Linked DNA regions of Yarrowia lipolytica. The protein of the gene in region 2 binds, or shares a complex with, the protein of the main gene of each other region. Links are inferred from orthologs where the notes say so. Each region holds a gene or a part of one and is shown on either strand. Other genes may lie near its edges.

Region 1 (6,380 bases), on a different chromosome or scaffold from region 2:
GGGGTTTGTGCATGGTGGAATCTAAACCAGTGCAGTGAGTTGACTCGTCAACGAAGACGCAGAAAACATACAACTCCTCAAAAGATATCGCCACTTCTATGGATACAGAAAGCTATACATGTCGCAAGACTCCAGTGTTGCTGAACTATTTAATGACTTCTATGTCGAGCTACCCCTTGACCTCGGCGTGATCTCGCCTACAACTCGTCTCCATAGACGGACAGATCTAATAGAATCGGTATAAATATAGATTTACAAACACATGATTTTTAAGGGCTGCCGTTTCCCCGTGTATTGCCTTCACCCTATCGTCTTCGTCCAGGACTCCTGCTCCGATTCTCAGATCCACGAATTCGATGTTGTGAAATGGAGGTGTCTGCTTCATGGAAGGCGAACGACACCTCCAGGTTGTGCTCCAGAAACTCAACTCCGTTAGTCTCTGCAATAGCTGTATCGGCATCGTCCTTGGTGGCAAACTGGAGGAGAGCATACCCTTTGGCGTAACCAGTTCTTCGATCCAGGTTGACGTGGGCTACCTGGACATCTCCGTATGTGCTGTAGAAGTCTGTGAGATCCTCCTCACTAATTTCTGGATGTAGGTTGTCGACAATGATGATCCATCCCTCCGTGGCTGAGTTAGTCAATGGTCAATGCTGTGGCTATGATGTTGTCTCGATCTGTGTGTACTCACATCGTAGAGGTGTGGGTTCGTCTGAGTTAGTAATGAATGACGCTGTTGTGTTGAAGCGATTGGTATTCCGATCAATGTCTCTGTTCGTACTCACTTTCTGTAATACCCATTGTGTCGTGATGCCGTTGTGTTGGAAATGATGATTTCAAGTCGTCCAGTGTGGTTGCATGAAACTTTCAGGAAGTCACTATGAAACGACACACTTAAAGATCATCAATGACCATATGAGGCTGGTAAATAAAAAATGGCCGTTGCTGGTCGTTATATATCATGACATAAAAGGCTTGCACACAGTTTCAATCTCAACGATTACCCCCATCAATTATGCTTACTAAGCCGATTGTTTTAAAAAGTTAAACTTTAGACCAGCATAATCGTTGGAAAAAAATTGAAACTTGTAACCAGAAAAGCAGATCTTCGATTACCAACACTGATAAAATGTCTTTCACCGATCTAGGCTTGCCAGAGTGGCTAAATGAGTCTCTCTCAAACATGGCTATCACCAAGCCTTCCGCTATTCAGAAAGCCTGTATCCCCCAGATCATGAAGGGAAAGGACTGCATTGGAGGAGCTCGAACTGGTAGTGGTAAGACTATCGCATTTGCTGCTCCCATGCTGGCTGAATGGTCCAAGGATCCCTGTGGTATTTTTGGTCTAGTTCTGACCCCTACTCGAGAACTAGCCATCCAGATAGCGGAGCAGTTTACAGCTCTTGGAGCCAACATGAACATTCGAGTCGCGCTCATCTACGGTGGAGTTGATATGGTCAAGCAGAGTCTGGAACTTCAAAAGATGCCCCATTTCGTCATTGCCACACCTGGTCGTCTGGCTGATCATATTCGAAGCAGTGGTGAGGATACCATCCGAGGATTCCGACGGGTTAGATATGTAGTTATGGATGAGGCTGATCGACTGCTGACTCCTGGCTTCGTTCCTGACCTTAAAACTTGCATGGACCTTCTCCCCGATCCTTCAAAGCGTCAGACTTTGTTGTTCACAGCCACTGTTACCGACGCTGTTAGAGCTCTGAAGGACAGAACCGGTGAGAAGGGACCGCCATTCATCCACGAGATTGCATCAGACATTGCCGTGCCTAGCACTCTTACCCAGTCATATCTATTCCTACCTGGTTACGTACGAGAAGCCTACCTGTGGGCTATCCTCACTCATCCAGATAACGAGAAGAAGTCTGCCATCATCTTCGTCAACCGAACTCAGACTGCAGAGACCCTGAGACGAATGCTCATGGCTCTGGACGTTAAGACTGCCTCTCTTCATTCTGAGATGCGACAGCAGGAGCGAGTCAACGCTCTAGGACGATTCCGAGCCCAAGCAGCCCGAGTTCTTGTGGCCACTGATGTTGCTTCTCGAGGTCTTGATATCCCTACTGTGGAGATGGTCATCAACTTTGACCTTCCAGCAGATGCTGACGATTACATTCATAGAGTCGGTCGAACTGCCCGTGCAGGACGAAAGGGCCAGTCTGTCTCTCTTGTCACTGAACGAGATGTAACTCGTGTGACGAACATCGAAGAGAGAGTGGGTACCAAGATGGAGAAGTACGATCTGATCGAAGACGACAAGGTCGTTGAGGAGTATCTCACCCCTGCATCCACTGCCAAGAGACAGGCCGTTCTGGACATGGAGGCCGAGAACTTTGGTGAGCGAAAGCGAATCCAGAGAAAGAAGGCAGGACTGGACGTTGACATGAAGTCCAAGAACAAAAAGCCCAAGCGTGTAGCCAAGGGCAAATCTGACAAGAAATAAAGGATCCATCTAAAAAAAAGTGCATTTATTACAATATATTAGAATCTAATGGCGATGCGGACATCCTCAACTACTTGTCGTTACAAATATGAGTAGTAGGTAGGTAATAAGTAGCTACTGTATGATACGGTACATATACTTGTACACTTACGAGTGTGAGAGAAAGCAATAAATAATCAATTTTATGGAGTGCCATTGGGTCGGAATGAGTTTAGATATGCTGTGTGGAGTGCACTGTATATAGAATTATGAATACAGGTCCCCTACTTCTTACCTTCATATAATCCCTGGTAGTACCCTGCCCAATACCAAGCCATGACTAGACTTCGAACACTCTCGTCCAGATGATCCAAAGAAGGTCCAGTGGGTGCCGATGCCGATCCGGATCCTGGGTTCGCCATTGAGGTTTCGTCGTTAGAAATGTTGGATATCTCAGCAGCTTCTAACAACTTGTTAGCTGTGTCGGCTGTGTCGTTCATATCCGCATCATCATCCTCTTCTGGCATTTCCTTCTGCTCCTTGTCGGTTCTCATCTCATTGATCACTGCACCTTCCGTCGTGCTCTTCTTATGGTACTTGAGATATTCCTCGTATGCCTTATCCCAGGTCGCCACGAGTTGGCTGTCGTCCCATTGTTGGTTCATCTTGATCGTTGTGTTGATGAGAATTCATGCATTCGCATATTCATTTTGGTCACCTAAAAAATTAACATTCATCTAACTGCAGATGAGATGTACAACAACATATCTGCATCTTCATGAACTGCACGACATCGATATTTACTGATCAACGGCTGGAGAAAAAGTGTTTCATATGGTAGTTTGTGGCAACCCATGAACGGACACGGCAGTAACTTGAAGGACCTGGGTCAGGTACTATTACCAAACAATGAACAATTCAAGAACGATGGTGACTCTGGCGATGGGGAGGAGCTGCCCATGTTCCCGCCATCTGAAAATATTGGGTTGACATTCAAGTCGGACGGGTTGCTCCCTTTGCTTTTCTTTGTGCTGCCTCCGGAAGGAGATCTTCAAAGGAAAGAATTCGCAGACCTGAAACATATGTTAGAAAAAGGAGGAGCTATTTTGGCTCCTGAGCCATCAAACAATACCTACAACATCTGTTACACCGAAGAAACCCTCATACCACAGAAGTACGAATCATACAAAATTTGGTATACTGCTGACTTGATTCGAAGGTGCATGGACTGTCAATGTTTCGATGAGGACATTGTGGAAGCTGAGATGATCCTTGTCCCCAACTTCCGACACCTTACAAATGATTCAGTCAATCATGAAGATGAGTGGTGTCTAGATCAGGCACCCTCATTGAATTGGAGCCCTCAAGACCTGTTCTTCTCCACTGATCTTCTCAGACCAATCATGAGGATCTCAGGGAGTGAGTACAGAAAGTTGATTTCTGGGTCGCAGTTGCAAGCTGACCCAGCAGGGTCACAAGGGACACGAATCGGCGTCGATGGTGTGGACGTGGAAATGGAGGGAAACAACTCGAACCACGCCCCTGTTGTGAAGCTGGAAGATATTATTGACGAATCTACTACACCTCCGCTCGCTGATGCCCTTGTGTTGAATGCTCCGAGGACGGAGATTTTACATCGGCCAAGTCACAGAGCATTGCAAGTTTACATTCAGAACAGGCAAAAATGGCAAAATCTAATCGACCGATTGCCTCATCACGAGGTTGTGTACCTCCAGCGTGTCACTGACTTACTCAGTGGCGACTTTGACGAAGTTTACCACCAAGTATCCTACCATGGTGATGATTACGACGCGATAAACAGCCAGCCTGGAAGGTGGAACTCTGTTCACGACGTGTATCTTACTGATGTGACTGAATCAAAGGAGCTTGCACAATACTCTGTGGAACAAAAGTTCAACCGCAAGAAGTACTTGGAGGAGACTTTGACGGTCAACAAGGTGGCGGAATGGCTAGCCAACTTTCAACCTACGAAATACGGCCATCCTATCCATACTATTACCAGTCACCAGACGCTTACTAACTACTAATATACAATACAATACAGCTTGTCAGTGGTGGATCCGCTGTCTATAATATCAATACAACAAATAATACCTTTTTTCTATACCATGCTATAACTGAACCATCTATAACTAGAATCCCTTCTTCTTCTGCTTGTCGATATGAGCTCTCAGCAAACGCTTCTTCTCGATGAGCGATCTCTTGGCCTTGCCCTGGACATCCTTCTTGTGGATAGTCATCATGAAGTTCTTCTTTCGGGCCTTCTCTCTGTTGGTGGTGGAGTGAGGGGCGTCTCGCTTTCCCTTTCGAGAACCGAACTTTTCTCGTCCTTCTCGTCCTTCCTGGGCCTGTGCAATTCGCTCCTCTCGCAGCTGCTTGTACTTGACAGGTCCAATCAGGCCACGAGCATCGACCTCATCCTCGTTGGTGAGCTTCTTGCCCATGAGCTTGTCGAAGCCCGCCTGGGCCTTGAGCTCCTCGAGCTTGGCAAAGTCAGCAGGAGTGAGAATCTTGGTAGCCATAATGTTCTGGGCCTCGGCAGCAGCGTCGGCAGCAGCCTGGGCCTTAGCAGCTTTGGCTTCGTCGTCGAGTTCCTCCTCGTCTTCACTGTCAGAAATGTTGTACTCCTTATCGTCCTCAATGTTGATCCATCCGGACTCAGAGTCGTCAGAGTCATCATCAGAGTCAGAATCAACCTCCCAAGCCTTCTCATCATCTTCCTCCTGGACCTGGTCAGCTTTCCACTTGGCCAACAGCTCGAGACCCTCGATACCGGTCTGGCCCTTCTCAATACCATACTGGAGTCGAGAAGAGGTACCGGCCTTAGCGTCAGCAGACATAGCCATGGATGCCTCCTTACCTCTATCCTTTCGTGCAAGCATCTCGGGTGCAACCTCTCGGTAGAGGGAAACAAGAGATCGAGCAGCCATAACAACTGCTTTGGCCTTGGAGCCTTTGTAAGCAGTAAGATCCTGAAGAAGGGGAGCCTCAATAGCAAGAGGATTTCGTGCCAGAATCTCACGGATGGTGTTGATACCAGCAGAGCAAACCTCGGCAGAAACACCATCAGAGACGAACTCGTCAGCAATCTTTCGGATCATGGGTGTAATGGCATCAGGGGGCACGAGATCATGGGAAGCCTGCGCGGCGGCAGCCATGATCTGAGTGACGTCCTTCTGCTTGGGGGTGAGGTATTTCAGGAAATGAGAATAGATGCCCAGAACGGTGAGCTTATGTGTGCCGATCATTCGAGACACGAGGTTCATGATCTGAATTTTCTGCTCAAGATCGTATCTATACTTGCATAAGTTTGTAAAGAGCTGGTCGGCAAAACCCTGGGGGTCTCGCAAAAGATGCAGGGCGGAAAAGTTGAGGTAGGTGGCAGACACACCACCGTTACCCTTTCGCTTTTTCAGCAGTTTGTTCATGGCAGACTCGGCCTTTCGTCCTCGCTTTCGGGAGTTCTTGTTGATCTGTAGTCGATGCTTAAGAGCACCGATCTCGGCAGAGGCATCGGAATCAGAGTCCTCGGCGTTAGCCTCCTCTCGCTCCTTGTCAGCGCCAAGGAAGAATCGCACACCAGAAATGGCAATCTTGGCCTCTCCGTGAAGAGTAGCCTGAGCCATGATTTCCACAGTTCGGGAGTCGTCCCAAATACCTCGTCTCCACAGCTCTCGGGTCAGTTTAGTGGCCCACAGACCAGAAGACTCTCCAGTGGACAGAACATTAAATAGAAGTGCTTGGACAGACTTGTTGAGCTTCTGAGCTTTGCTTCCAGTGTTGGCACCCTTGACGATGGTGACAATGTTGGAGTAGATCTGAGTTCGCAGCTGCTTGCTGCCAGTGATGAGCAGAATGGGGAAGAGGGTGGCGATAAGCTTCTCGGGGGTGATGACACCCTTGTTCTTGAGAAGAACCATAG
Region 2 (6,389 bases):
TGTCTTCCCTGGAGTCTTTCTTTGGCGACTCCGATTCTTCTACAGCGCTCGGCATGATGGCATCTTCTATTTCCGACGCTCTTTCCTCATTCACTAACTCAATCATCAACCCAATCATTAATCCCATCTTGGAGGCAGTCACTGAGATTCTACATGCATCTGTCACTCTGCTGTCATACCACGATGATCAGATTGACGTATGGATTAACTCAAAGTCCACCGATCCCACTCATTCTCGACTGTCTAAGGACCATTTTGCAGCATACCTAAACGAGCCTGCTGGCCTCGTGGCTGCAGAGGTGGTCAAATACGTCGTTCCCTTTGTGGTAGAAGCCTGGGAGGATCCCTCTATTGATCCTCAGACTGTTGTGGATGAGGCACTCCAAACATTCCATCATCCTGCTCTTGCACACACCAAGCTGCATCGAATCATGCGGGCCGAGGTGGATCGATGGATTCAGACCTTCTCTGACGAGGAGCGAGAGCATATTCTGGAGGGCCTTACCTCTAGAGGCGTTCTTCATGGCCACAATAATGCTGAGCACTTGGATGTGAACAACGTTACTTACGAGGACCCTTTTGATCATACTGGTAGTGAAGAGAAGGCCTCAACCTTCCTTGATTACATTGATTACTTTGGCTTCTTCAACCAGCAGGGTTCCGGCTCTGGCTCTGGCTCTGGCTCAGGCAGCATGAAGCGGGAACACAAGGATAAAGCCGAGGATGTGGCCAACGACATGGATGCTGAGGGAGCAGCTGACTCGGAAAAGCATCATCAAGACCATGCTGACACGGCCCAGAAGAAGGCTAAGGACAATGCAAAGAAAGGCGAAGCCAAGCATAACGAGAAGGCCAAGGCCAAGGCCAAGGCCAAGGCCAAGCCTAAGCCCAAGTCCAAGAAGTCTAAGAGTCAAAAGACGCATTTCCACGACCATGCTCACCATGTCGAGGACCATCCTGACATGGCCAAGCAGCAGGCCGCTGAGCAGGCTGCCTCTGCTCATGACGAGGAGGGTTCAGCTAGACGAAAACCCCAACAACCATAGACTAGATAAGAGTACCTACATAAGCGTTGTGCTTGACATAATTCCCTCTCTCCAGTGTCAATAAAATATTTAATAGACGACGACTCCAGTGTATACACATCCGATACAAACAAGCATACATATATACATATTGCCATGAACATGGGTATCTCGGAAAGAAAGCGTGACCGGGTTTAGCTCTATAGGATTTACTCTTATCAGCTCATAAGACGGTTGTGTCTCTCCACTCATATCAAGCCATGTTAACACACGGCCTCGAAACGCTTATCCTTATCGACGATTAGAGCTCGTCCAAGGGAGGGAAAAATAGCCGTGAGGGGCAAACCGATCTATTCAGGTTGTTGGTAACTGCCGCCTTTTCTGCACCTGTTTCTCATTCTAGTCTCGCACTAAAATCAACACCCGCTACTGGCAGCTCCAAGCGGGGGGCATGGGTCAAGTATTGGTATTAGCTGCGATAGTGTATGATAAGCCAATTACGACCACACTCTAAAGGGTGGGAGAACTGCACGCGACTCTCTCAAAGAGGGGAATTAGAATGGACTCCTCGAAGCCTTATTCCAACCCGTTCAATAATCACCCAAGCACGGGCATGTATGTTTATGTGTTTTCAGTGTTTCGGAACATCCACGGCAGTGCCGAGATAAGACTTGAGGTATGCAGGAGTGGGTCGAGATGGGTCAAATTTTTATGCGTGTCAATTGAACCCTAATATATATATTTTGGTTCCAGAAAAGCGACCCTACTTTCCGTTTCTACCTTCCGTCACTACACACACACAATGTCTTCCTCGCCCATTCCCTCCAACGTCAACGTGCTTCCACAGACCCGGCAGCTTCTTGGTCTCTACTCCATCATCCGGGACAAGAACACCTCTCGGTCGGACTTCATCTTCTACTCCGACCGAATCATCCGTCTGCTTGTCGAGGAGGGTCTCAACCAGCTGCCCGTGACCGATAAGCTCGTTAAGACGCCAACCGGCGCTGAGTTCAAGGGTCTTGCATTTGAGGGAAAGATTTGCGGAGTCTCCATTATGCGAGCTGGCGAGTCCATGGAGCAGGGCCTTCGAGACTGCTGCCGGTCCGTGCGAATCGGTAAGATTCTCATTCAGCGAGACGAGGAGACCGCCCAGCCCTCTCTATTCTACGACAAGCTGCCCGAGGACATCTCTAGCCGATTCGTCTTCCTCCTGGATCCCATGCTTGCCACTGGAGGTTCTGCCATGATGGCCGTCGAGGTTCTCATTGCCCGAGGCGTCCCCCAGGAGCGAATTCTCTTCCTTAACCTCATTGCATCTCCCGAGGGTATTGCTGCTTTCGCTGAGAAGTTCCCCAACGTCCAGATCATCACTGGTGTCATTGACGACGGTCTTGACGAGAACAAGTGGATCCAGCCCGGTCTCGGAGACTTTGGCGACCGATACTACTGCATTTAAATCCGGTCTCCCTGGAAACAACTCACATACCCTTCAGTATATAAAAACATAATCGTATATGATTGCATACTTGTAATAAATGTTAGCTATGGATCGTTTGTGTGTGTGTGTGTGTGTGTGTGTGTGTGTGTGTGGAGATGATGGATGAGGTGCAATCTAAACTGGTTCCGGGGGCTCGATGCTGGATGAATCAACTCATTGTAGAATTGCCTGGTCCTTCATTCATACCCTCCTCATCATTTGCCACTTCTATCTGTCTTTGTTGTGAGGTTGGATCCAGTGCTTGTATGTTTGTCTCTGCTTTTGCTTGAGCTTCCGCGTGAGCTTCTGCCTGTGACTCTGCTCCCTGTAATACCAGATTCTCCTTGTAGATGCGCAATTCCTCCTTTCGAATGTCGGATTGACGGAAAAACTCGATCTGCTCGTCCGTCAGAGTCCGTTCAACTCCATCAGGATAGAAGCCCAGGGAGGGCTCAGTGTCCTCGTCTTGACCTGCCTCATCAAACTTGATTGTGCCCTGAAACTCGCCTAGATGTTTCTTATGGAACTCCAGCAGATCCTGGGTCGAAATAGACATGTTTTTGGGTGGCGAATGGTACAATAATTGAGTGGCCACTTACACAGACTGCATATTGGGTGTTTTGATTTTGGATGTGGTTTCGATAGAGGAGTATCAAAGCTAATTTTTCTGCCCTCATGCAAAGCCAAAAAAATATTTGCAGCTAGTGCAGATATTTTGGCAGGACTTCCCATCCATCTTCTAACCACACAGCATACATCACAATGCCCAAGTCAAAGAGAAACAAGGTCATCGCTCTCACCAAGGTCGAGAAGAAGACCCGGGAGGACAAGGAGGTGATCGTCGACGAGATCCACAACTACCTCGACGAACACAAGTACTGCTTTGTCTTCTCAGTAGAGGGCATGCGAAACACCTTTTTCAAGGATCTCAGAGCGGACTGGAAGGGCAGCAGAATATTCTTTGGCCGAACCAAGATCATGGCCAAGGCTCTCGGCAAGTCTGAGGAGGATGAGTACAAGGCTGGACTCGGCGCACTGTCTGAGTACATGTCTGGAGATGTTGGTCTTCTGCTGACCGACGAGGAGCCCCAGGTCGTCAAGGATTACTTTGAGTCTTTCGTTCGGGAGGACTATGCACGAGCCGGCCAGGTCTCTACCGTTACTTTCACAATCCCCGCCGGCGTTGTCCATACCACCGGAGGTAAGATCCCCGCTGAGGACGATGTTCCCGTTGTGCATTCTATGGAGCCCACTCTCCGATCTCTGGGTATGCCCACTCAGCTCAAGGCCGGAAAGGTGGAGCTGTTCGCCCCCTACGAGGTCTGCAAGACTGGCCAGACTCTGGATTCTCGACAGACCCGTTTGCTCAAGCACTTTGGCGTCACCAGCTCTTTCTTCAAGGTCCACACTGTGGCCTACTACGACTCTGAGAAGGAGGAGGTTAAGCCCTTCATTTCCGCTTAGATGTCTCGGAACATATTAATCAATCATTAGACACGTTTCAATAGAATAACTATGGGAGGAAAATATTGTAGTTTTACGCTGTATTTCCTTGTACAGTAATTTGTGCATATCTAATTTGTAGTCATTTTCCATGTGGGTTAGCTCAAATTTATTCGACACCTTTTATGCAAGGCGCGGTGCTGTCCATTATCAACCTCAAAAACTTTCGACCATGAGCAAGAAATCGTTGGCCGCCGTTGGAACGCCACTGGATGAGCTGAAGGAGAACCAGACCATCGCCAAGGTCGCCCAGGCCAAGGGCAGCAACATATACGAGGTGACTCTGCCTCAAGACTTCTACAAGAGCCACGGGTTCAAGAGCCCAGAGGTCCAGGTTGAGATGCCACCCAAGTTCAGACAGACCGTGTGGGTCAAGCGGGGTGGCTTTGTTGTTGTTGACGTGACTCCCGATGACAAGATTGCCGGTGATATCATCGAGATCGTGGTGGACGATCGCACATGGCGAAAAATGCCCTACTGGCCCGCCGAGTTCAAGAAGGTCGGTGGATGGCAGCAGGATTCCGACGAGGAGGAGGCCGATCCCTTTGCTCTTCCTGACGACGAGTCTGATGAGGAGGAATACGAGGAGGAGCAGAGTTAGGGGGTGAAGGGGTTCTAAGCGGTGTATATATACTGGAGATGATATACAGTTGGACACCTTCTCTCTGTCACACGACCTGACGCAACAGCTAGACCCATGTCAGAGTCGTTCAAAAACTACAGCATGTAGCTAATCTTTAATACATTCATATAATAAAGCACACTTGCAATTGTACTGTAATGCTTTAAAGTACAGGTACCAACAGCGATAAGCGTGAACAGAAATAAAGAGTAAGCCAACTGCTCTATGTTCTGATACACGCTAACAGTACTTCACGCTACACGACATGGGCACGACTACGAGGTCCGTAACTTGGTATACAAAGACAGGCGCAGATACAATAAATGAGCGGCTACGCGTTACACACGGCTGTCCTCCGCCCGACACCCATCAGGCCCTCTTTTCAACAATATATTCATGCAGCACAATAAATACGATACTTCTATACGTGGCATGCGGGGTTACCACAAGCTCCAGCCGTCGGGGCCTCGTTCCAGCTCCTTGATTTCGGAAATGTCTCCATTGGTGAGGTGTCCGTAGATGTGCGCAAACTTTTCGTTTCGCGATCGCACAAAGTCCCACTGTAGTCGACATCCGGGCTTGCAACCCACGGCACCCTCGGTTAATGGGGCGCCGGGAGTGTCGGGAATGTCAATCGCCAGCAGATAAACGCGGTCGTGCTTGTTGAAGTACTTGTTGAGCGTCTCCAGCAGCTGAGCCTTGGTGCTAAGGTGGATGAAGCCGTCCTGGATATCAAGGGGCACGCCAGGCAGCACGGTTTCGGGGTTGACGGTGCCGTTCTGAACAGCCTCGGCCGGCAAGGATTCCAGAATTTTGTAGATCATGGCTGCGGTCGCTTGAGATGGGTGGTTTTTTAAAAAGTCGGTCTTTAGAAAAAGGCAGACTAATAATCTCCTTGGTGATGTGTAGTGAGGTGGGTGGAGTGAATATCCAAATTAGACTTAGACGGATTATAGTGCGTGGTGCACACACCCGCTGGAATGTGCCTGCTGTACCTTTCGGAAAATGAAAATCGCAAAGTTAATCAGCTCGCTTGTGTAACCGAGCTGTAACTGTATGGACTGAAGTGGGGCGGGTGGCACCAGCTGACACGAGACTCTGACACAGCGAACATTTTTAGGACTACCGACTCGAGACCTTATCAGGAGACCCCAAGACTCTATCCTGCCAACAAGTCTGTTTCAGAGTTCTCAAATAGCTTTCTCCTCTTTGCTGGCTTGCTGCACGGAATAAAATAACGCCCATCACGCAGCATACATATATGGTGTCATTTCCTGTGAGAAGTGCGGTACAAGACAGGAACCAGGCATAGCAGCCAATTTTTTTTATTGCAACACTTGCTTCTATTCAATAATGTACTGTTTATATTATTACCTAGGAGTGGCGTCGATTCCCGCCTCTCCTTGATTTACCCCCACCACATGCAATTAATCCAAAATGTAGTTACCCAACTTGTCCATCTTGAGGTTCTCAATGCCTCGCTCAGCAATGGCCTTCTCGAGGGGATCCTCCTCTTCTTCCTCCTCTTCTTCCTCCTCCTCCTCTTCTTCTTCCTCGTCTTCCTCGTCGTCTTCCTCCTCCTCAATGTCGTGCTCCTCCTGATCAGCATCCTCGATCATCTCAGCGTCCTCTGCAAGCTGCTCGTTCTCCTCATCGTCCTCTCGGATCTGGTCGTCGACGTCGTTCTCGTCCACCTCCAGACTCTGGGCCAGAGCGGCCTCCAGGTCCTTGGACTGCTTCTTGGAGAAGCCAGATGCACCCA

The links. Proteins that work in one complex are often made in the same cells at the same time.
Region 1: YALI1_F38998g (region 2) and YALI1_E03183g share a complex: the UniProt entries of both Schizosaccharomyces pombe proteins name them as parts of the core SMN complex. The link is inferred for Yarrowia lipolytica from reciprocal best matches to the Schizosaccharomyces pombe genes gem8 and smn1.

The regions. Positions count from the first base shown.
Region 1 is NC_090774.1:315,264-321,643, forward strand, and holds YALI1_E03183g (uncharacterized protein), read right to left. Parts: upstream 3,103-6,380; coding exon 2,722-3,102; downstream 1-2,721. Other genes in the region: YALI1_E03158g (uncharacterized protein), read right to left, coding at 306-631, 692-712, 786-801; YALI1_E03163g (uncharacterized protein), read left to right, coding at 1,130-2,458; YALI1_E03185g (uncharacterized protein), read left to right, coding at 3,292-4,485; YALI1_E03220g (uncharacterized protein), read right to left, coding at 4,591-6,380. UniProt on the Schizosaccharomyces pombe protein: The SMN complex catalyzes the assembly of small nuclear ribonucleoproteins (snRNPs), the building blocks of the spliceosome, and thereby plays an important role in the splicing of cellular pre-mRNAs.
Region 2 is NC_090775.1:3,896,837-3,903,225, forward strand, and holds YALI1_F38998g (uncharacterized protein), read right to left. Parts: upstream 3,059-6,389; coding exon 2,672-3,058; downstream 1-2,671. Other genes in the region: YALI1_F38954g (uncharacterized protein), read left to right, coding at 1-1,046; YALI1_F38986g (uncharacterized protein), read left to right, coding at 1,828-2,481; YALI1_F39001g (mRNA turnover protein MRT4), read left to right, coding at 3,265-3,966; YALI1_F39009g (uncharacterized protein), read left to right, coding at 4,097-4,606; YALI1_F39022g (uncharacterized protein), read right to left, coding at 5,068-5,451; YALI1_F39041g (uncharacterized protein), read right to left, coding at 6,055-6,389. UniProt on the Schizosaccharomyces pombe protein: The SMN complex catalyzes the assembly of small nuclear ribonucleoproteins (snRNPs), the building blocks of the spliceosome, and thereby plays an important role in the splicing of cellular pre-mRNAs.